Macaca fascicularis: one gene and its partner. The protein of the gene in region 1 interacts with the protein of each later gene in a biochemical or structural test. Links are inferred from orthologs where the notes say so. Each region holds a gene or a part of one and is shown on either strand. Other genes may lie near its edges. The genes, in order: TNFRSF8 and TNFSF8.

Region 1 (3,814 bases):
TGCTGGCATCTAGAGGGGCTGCAGAATGTCCTACAGGATAGCGCTCTGCAGCAAAGAATGATCCATTCCCAAATGTCAATGGTGCCAAGGGTGAAAAATTGTTTTACAAATATCTCAACAACCACAATAAAATCCCCGTCCTCCTGCTCACCCAGCGTGTGGCCTTAAATTACTTCATCATCCTGTGCCTCAGGCTGCTAATCTGTGCAACGGGGATAACAGTAGGTACCTCACAGGCCACTGGAGGAGTAGATGAGATCACGTGTGCGCTCTGCAAATGCCTGTCACCGAGGACACACGCGGGAAGGTCAGATCAACTCGAGGGCTGGTTGGCAAGTATCTCATCGCACCTGCACGCACCACAGATCCCTGATGCGCTCACTGCTCAAAGGAACCAGGAGCACCCTCTGCCCCAGGTCTGGGATGTGGGAGGCCAAGGGGCACACGCTCCCATCCTGCCTGCCTTTGGCCTCTGCAGGCAGTTGGAATTAGTCTAAAAGCTTGGAGGGAGCTAGGACAGCTTCTGGGCCCGGCACAGAGCCTGCACGGAGGAAGTGCACAGTGAAGACCATGTGAATAGATGAACGAATGAACCAATGAACCAGTTCTCCTTCCCTCCTTCGCCACCCACGGCTCGGGAGGGAAATGGGCATACAGCCAGCTCGGTCCGTTCTCACCCTGTGCCCTGTGAGCTTGCCTGTCTCGGCTTCACTTTCTGTCCATCTTGGGCCTGGGAACCCAGACCCCAAGGGCCCACCAGAAGAAGCCAGAGGGTCAAAAATGAGATAGGACGTCCACCATCGAGTCTCGGGGCTCAGTTCTTTGCAGATCTGGCTTCTTAGGGGAAGGTGTTTTCTTTCTTTTTTTCTTCTTGTAACAAAACTGCTCTCACAGAGGTTTGAAGAAAAAAAATAAACTGACGGCAATGGAAATTCTAATACTAGAAAAATGTCAAGAAAGCAAATGCCGGTTTCAATGAGACACGCAGCCTGACAGGTCATGGAAACAGGCTTGAAACTATCAAAACACAAAAACCCCCCCTGGCACAGGGACCACAAGCGCTCGCTTGTGAAACTCATCAAATTCAAAACATGCCTCAGTGGACTGTGTTTTTGTGCCCAAGTCAAGAGTCAGCCTACGCAAGGGCCTCTCCAAGGGTCCTGGGGAGATCGGGGGACGGGCCAGGACCTGGTCTTACGCTGAGCACGTGGCTCTTGGGTGGGCATTCGGGTGGTGGACAGAGCTGGCGGGGGGAAGGAAGAGGGGACAGGGCTGAGCCCTTTACAAACCAAAACCCCTAGGACCGGTGCCTGAGGCTGGCTGTGCCACTGCCAGGCTGTGTAGCCCTGGGCCAGCCGTCCACCTCGCTGAGCCCCGTCTCCTCCTTGCAGAACAAAGGTCATCACTGGGGGAGTGCAGGAGGCCTCTATGGGAGCCCACCTTGCAAATCAGAAAGGAAGGCTCAGACAATTCCCCCATCAGAGCCCAGCACTCAATCCATGCCATGCGGTGCTGAGGAAGACCCTGGCCTGCCTGGAAGGGGCTGCCCAGGAGAGAGAAGGTGCTCGGCACAAGATGGCTAGGAGCCCACTGCTCCAGGTGAGAGCTGGAAGACACATGCTGTCTAGATGCCCCCGCCTGGACAGGTGAGGAGGGTCCCAGCTCCCAAGGGCTGCCTGGAAGAGCTGGCCCGGAGGCTGGGCAGGGATCAGAGTGCAGGGACCAGGGAGGGGGGTCAGAAGCACCCAGGACTCCAGAAGGCCTGAAGCTTCCAGGGAGGAAAAAGCCCCAGACACAGGCCGGCCTGTCAACAGGCAGCAGCCGCCGACCGCAGGCAGGTACTCCACGATGCGCTTCACAGCCCGGCCTTGATGAATGCACAGGCCAAACCTCTGAAGTAGGTTCTACCATCACATTTTCCAGATGAGGAAACTGAGACACAGAGCAATTCAGTAACTCACGCGGGGTCACACAGCTTGTAAGTGGCAGAACCAGGGTCCCTCCTGCCACATGTGCTCCTTTCCCCTCCTGCCCCTGGGCTGATCACCAGCTGGTAGAAGAGGGGGAGAGAGGGGAAAGAGAAAGGGAAGGAGGGAGAGGGAGAAAGGGAGGGTAGAATGTAGAGAGGAAGGGAAGGCTGGCGGGAATACCCCCTGGGGATACTGGAGGAAAAAGTGAAAGACAAGATAGACTTTTAAACGTTCATGCCAGCATCCATCCAGGTGCTGCTCTGGGCAAGCCACGCAGTCCTCACACCCAGTCCAGTCTTCACCTCATTGCATTCTCCACACGCATGAGTTTCACCCGCATTACATCCCTACAGATGTACAGAATGCCACAGCAGCCACAGACAGGGAGCCTCGAGGCTGGGCTAGAAGTTCAGTCTCTGGAGCCCACGCCCCGGGCCTAGAGCTGCCCTGTGTTCCTCTGGCTCGGGCAGCCCCTTTGGACAGCTGGACACTCACCCACAAGCTCTAGCTTGGGCCGCGAGGTCTGGACCGGGTAGCACAGGTGGAGCTCTGAAACGACACCAAGAGGAAGGCTGGGGATGGTGGCCACAGAGGGCAGGAGCAGGCAGGGAAAGGACCCAGGCCAGGCTGGCAGAGAGCAACCTGTCCTCCCCAAGGCCCCAAGGACACAGCCACTTACTCTGGCGAATTCGCTTCCTGCAGGCCCTCCGGTGGCACAGGAGGAAGGTGCTGGAGCCGACCACCACAGCCAGCACCAGGATCACCCAGAAGAGCACTGGCCCTGGAACACAGAGGCACCCCGCACTCTTTGCCTCACTGCAACCACACAGGACAGCCCCAGCCCCAGACTACTTCCTCCTTCTCCTGGGACACAGCTTCCATCATGGCTAACAACACCGCGTCCTTTCCAAGCCAAGGCTGTATCTCATCCAGCCCTCCCTCACCTGGCTCCAGGAAGCTGATTAACTATTTAAGGCTGAGATAAGGGCAAACTGTGTCTAGAGGGTGAGAAATGGAGGCGTCTAGGAGCCAGAACAAAGGAATTGAGGTCCAACAGACCAAAACTTGGGGACTGTGGAGGAGGCCCCGGTGTGACCAGCATCTGGCAGCACTGTTGGTGTGGCCGGAGTCAGGGTGGGGAGGGCCAAGCAGTGAGGGGAAGGAAGGGGTTGAACCCAGTCCCCTCCCAGCCAACCCTCTAGACCCACTTGATGAGGGCAGGCATGGAGTCCTCTCTGCACATAAACACGCCCCACAAGCATTCCCTGAATGAATGATCCCCAACCCTAGGCCCTAGGCACCATCACTACCTTCAGTTTAAAAATGAGGGGAGCCAAGGCTCACGAAAGTTCGTTAACCTGTCCAAGGTCACCCTGAGAGTAAGTGGTAGAGCCCCAGCCCAGGCCATGCCAGGCCGGGTGGACTCCAGGACCCACGCTCTTAACCCCTATCTGGATCCACTTCTTTACACCATGGTACTGAACTCGCTTCCTTTTCCCCTTTTGTCCCTTACAGAGGTCATAGAGCTAGTGATTGCACTTTATTGAAGTCCATGTTCAGATGTTAAAAAAGTAGTATATGCCAGTTAAGTGCTTCTCAAATGTTAATGTGCGTATGAGTGCCCCGGAGATCTTGTTAAAGTGCAGTTTCTGATTCTCTAGGTCTGGGATGGAACCCACAATTTGCTTTCCTAACAAGTTCCCAGCTGGTGCCAATGTTGCCAGACAGGACCGTATTTTCAGAAACACTGGCCTGAGCACTACTGCCACCTCGTGTCAGCCACTAGAACTGCAAGTCCTAAAATGAGTAGCCTGGCATCATTCCATAAGCGCTAACTCTTGGGG
Region 2 (3,814 bases), on another chromosome or scaffold:
CACTTCCTACATATCTATCAGTTGATTTATGAATGATTATTCTCTTTTTTTTTGTTTGTTTGGTTACATTATTCATTTAAATGATGTACCCCTTGTGTCTTTAGGTGTTGGCTTTCTAAGCATTGCTTGACAGAGACTGCGATTAGAAACTGCTCACAGTGCAAAAGTCAGAGACCTCTGCTTAGAGAACAGTTGGTGAAAAATGAAAATGCAATCTTTCTCGAGTTAGAATGTGAGATGGCAGAAAATTTGCTTCGTTAACACACAGTTGGGTTGCATATACCTTTTCAAGAATGCATGAGTTGTTTAAGCAAGATTCACTTGTCCTACGCAGTTAGTGTGTAACTCAAATGCCAGCCGTTTCCCTGTTTTTCTTAGCTTTGAGTCTCAATGTCTGTTTTTTACCACAGACCACTTGGCTTGCTGAATTCAACACCTCTTCCAATGCCTGCTTCTCCCAAAGAATCTACTCACAGAAAGAGTTAAAGAGAAATGTAGACTTTACTGAATATTTCAAAGAGGAGACCTAGGAGGAGGTTGACATAGCACACTGCTCAGCAGATGACTTAAATTTTTCCCTTAGCCATTTTTGTTCTCTCAAGTCCCTCTCATCCATAACACCGCTGCTGATTTGTTCTTTCTTTCTTTCTTGTAAATCTTTTCTAGCTTTTCTTCTGACAAACTTTGCTGGAGTCCTACTCCTTTTCTCTCCTTCTTGAGAAAAATGCGAATTTTGCTCCATGTTTTAGTATAGCAGGGAAGCTTCCATCTTTTTTTTACTGAAGCATAACCTCAGGGCCTACATTCCATCTCAAACGGCTTGTCAAGGTCCTTCCATGAATAAGATGTTCCTCCAAAGATGATGTACAGATGCCAAGTTGGATATAGCTGGAGAAATCTCATGGCTACCCCAATCAGGAGAGAGGTTGCTGTTTCTCAGAAGTCCTCCTCCCCAATTCCAGGGTCATCATTATCTGTCAACAACTTTGTGGGGATTTAAAAACCCTCACGGAACTGGTTTTCTGAGAGGTGTTTGAAGCAGGAATATAATCTGCAGGAGATGCAGCAGCCATTCCCCGGCTGTTGCACACTGATTGTTTGCTAAAGGCACAACGCTATCCTGACCAGAAATGAAAAATGCCTGCTGCTCAATTATTGTCAGCCTAACTGGAATAGAGTCAGGCCTCGTCAGATGGTTTCCCAAACACCCAGATGGTCTCTTAGATTCTGGATGGTCAGCATGGTAGTTCTTTCCATTACATCCTTGAGATCCTGCTGTTGACACCATTCAGCAGGGCACCCTGAACTTTGTTCCCATATTCTGGCTTTGCTGAGATGAGATGCAGTCAGGTGCTACTAGTGTCTTCAATTGTATACTGGGGTAGGGTGGCCTTATCTTGGTTGAAGAGCTTCCAAAATTGTGTCAGAATCTCAGTTCCCAGGGGCTGCTCTTCTGAGATGGAAGAGGTTTTGAAGCAATTCAAACCCATTCCTTTCATTTTCTAGACTTGGATCCTGAGTTCCAGGGAGGGGAAGGTATAGTGAATTCTTATAATTTTTGTTGCCTTGGCAACCATTTTGTATACAAGTTTAATTTTCTCATACCAGAAGCTGGGCTTAGTCACCCTTGATATGGGTTTCCAGTTCTATACCAGACCTCTAGCCAAGACAAGAACTAGAGGCATCTCTCCTCCCTAGCAGACTGGATTCCCCACTTTTCTGTTACTTCCTTCAGACCATTCAGGCATTTGCCAGTGAATTGAGAGTGACCACACCCTATTTATTTACCTACATTGGTAACTCCCTTGCTCTCTCTCTCTGACTTCTCATTCCTGTCTCATGTAACCCAGAGAAGGAGGACTGCCCTTCAGACTCATTATGCCCTTTCTGTCCAGGATCTGTAAGTAAAAGTCTTCAAACTTGTTTTCCATTGTGATGGTGTATTAAATTTGTGCTTTCCATCTCAGGAATGGGGGGCTGTCCCAGGCCTGGTTTTCCCTGGGGGTTCCTAGGGGCAGGGTCATGTGGAGCACAAGGTCAGCTTCCCAGTCCCAAAGTGATAGTCAGATAGGCATAAACTGGGCATGGTTCAGTCACAAGGGTATCTGCCAGTATAGGGAAGTTTCCTGTGTGAAAGAGTCCTTGATCGCAACGTGGACAACTAAGCATTAGGCCATCTGCAGATAAAAGAAGTATCCCATGAAGGGCACAGTGTAAACACTCACACCCAGCTCCCCTTCATTTCCCATTAGGGCAGAGTTGCTAGCTGCTCTGATACTGGAGCCCCATTTTATCTGGAGGCTCTCAAAACAGAAGAAATAGATCAAGACCATACAGTGAATTAGTGGTTGGGCTGGGACATCCATTCATCCCTTCTGATTCCCATGTGGGGCTCTGCCCACCACACTACATTGCTTCCCTGCCTGCTATCTGAAAGATACTTCACTCAGAACTCTCTTTTTAACCCTGGAGCTATATCTTTCCAAGAGACAGAAGGCAAGGTATACTATTTAATACCCTGTGCAGTTTGTCTTGGTCTAAAGTTTTCTTTTTGCCCAAGTGTTTGGAGGGATGAAATACTGTATGGTAGAGAGGCGCTTTCTTCCTGAAGGCCAAGAGAAACTGTTCAGTCTGAATTACTGTATAAGAACACGGACAACACATTCTCAAGAGGAAAAGTGCTTGTATCTATGTACTGGAATGTATCCACATTGACTGATACGGTGGTGTTGACCTGCAGGTAATCCAGCAAGAATTGAGAGAGATTCTGGTACACGTGTTTGGTTTGCATTCCAGACTCACACACTGTCACCAGGGCCTGTTTTTTGATATGCTTGTTGATGAGAAGCTCCAACTTCAGATCGACAGAATTATTTGGGCATTGTACGAGAAACTGCAGTTGGCAAATGATGAAGTACAAACCAGGGAACTGGATCACCAGATTCCCATCCTGATATCTGACTCCATGGAGAATGCCATCTTTGTTCCAAGACAATTTGGTTTTGTTTAGATGCTTTGCCACTAGAAAGAGAAGTACAGAAAACAGAATTATTGAGAAGATTGTAGGTATGCATTGCAAAACTCTAAGTCTTTATTCAAAGTTTCCCATTCAAGACCCATGTTTTCTGTAATGTTCCAATCATCTGAATATCTTCCATGTTACTCCCTCTAGAGTCTACTTACTACTCAAGGCACAGGTATAAAACCACCCCACTTCCTTTTCTTCAACACTCAAAGCTGGAGGGTCAGAACACACATGATACTTTACTTCTACCTCCTATAGAATGGTTTTCCATGGAATCATTATCATATTATACTATTCTATGATGATGATGATGATCTTTCCCTTTTCAGAATATAAGCTCCTGGACTCTGTTCTCCACAAAGTCGGAACTATCCTGTTCATTTATCATGAATGGGCATTGCAGAAGGTATCAGAGATAGGAAATTCAATAATATTGAGTTTGATAGGCATTGTAGAAAGTGCAAGGTAAGACATTCAATAATATGATTCAGTTAATAACTAATTTAGGTATGAAGATTTCCAGGAGAATCGCCATGAATTTTCACATTAAGATGTATCCTCTAATGGTTCATTGTCTGAATTTTTGAATGCCTTCTTTCCTTCAAAGAGCAGCCAAAAATAATCGTGTAGGTCCCCCATGTGCCTATTAAGGGGCTCTTGCCATCTGGGATTTATTGAAAAGCAGAGAATTAGCAGACCCTCTAAACTGACAAGTTTGTGTTGGAGGGTGAGTCTCCAAGTCCTAACACATGAAAATTAGCACTGACTGGTAAGGGTGACTTTCAGGGC

Evidence for each region.
Region 2: the proteins of TNFRSF8 (region 1) and TNFSF8 form a complex in vitro, tested with the Homo sapiens proteins (2 studies listed by BioGRID and IntAct). The link is inferred for Macaca fascicularis from reciprocal best matches to the Homo sapiens genes TNFRSF8 and TNFSF8.

The regions. Positions count from the first base shown.
Region 1 is NC_088375.1:222,667,963-222,671,776, forward strand, and holds part of TNFRSF8 (tumor necrosis factor receptor superfamily member 8), read right to left. Parts: intron 2,752-3,814; coding exon 2,650-2,751; intron 2,520-2,649; coding exon 2,466-2,519; intron 1-2,465. UniProt on the Homo sapiens protein: Receptor for TNFSF8/CD30L. May play a role in the regulation of cellular growth and transformation of activated lymphoblasts. Regulates gene expression through activation of NF-kappa-B.
Region 2 is NC_088389.1:43,181,864-43,185,677, reverse strand, and holds part of TNFSF8 (tumor necrosis factor ligand superfamily member 8), read right to left. Parts: intron 3,022-3,814; coding exon 2,627-3,021; 3' UTR 1-2,626.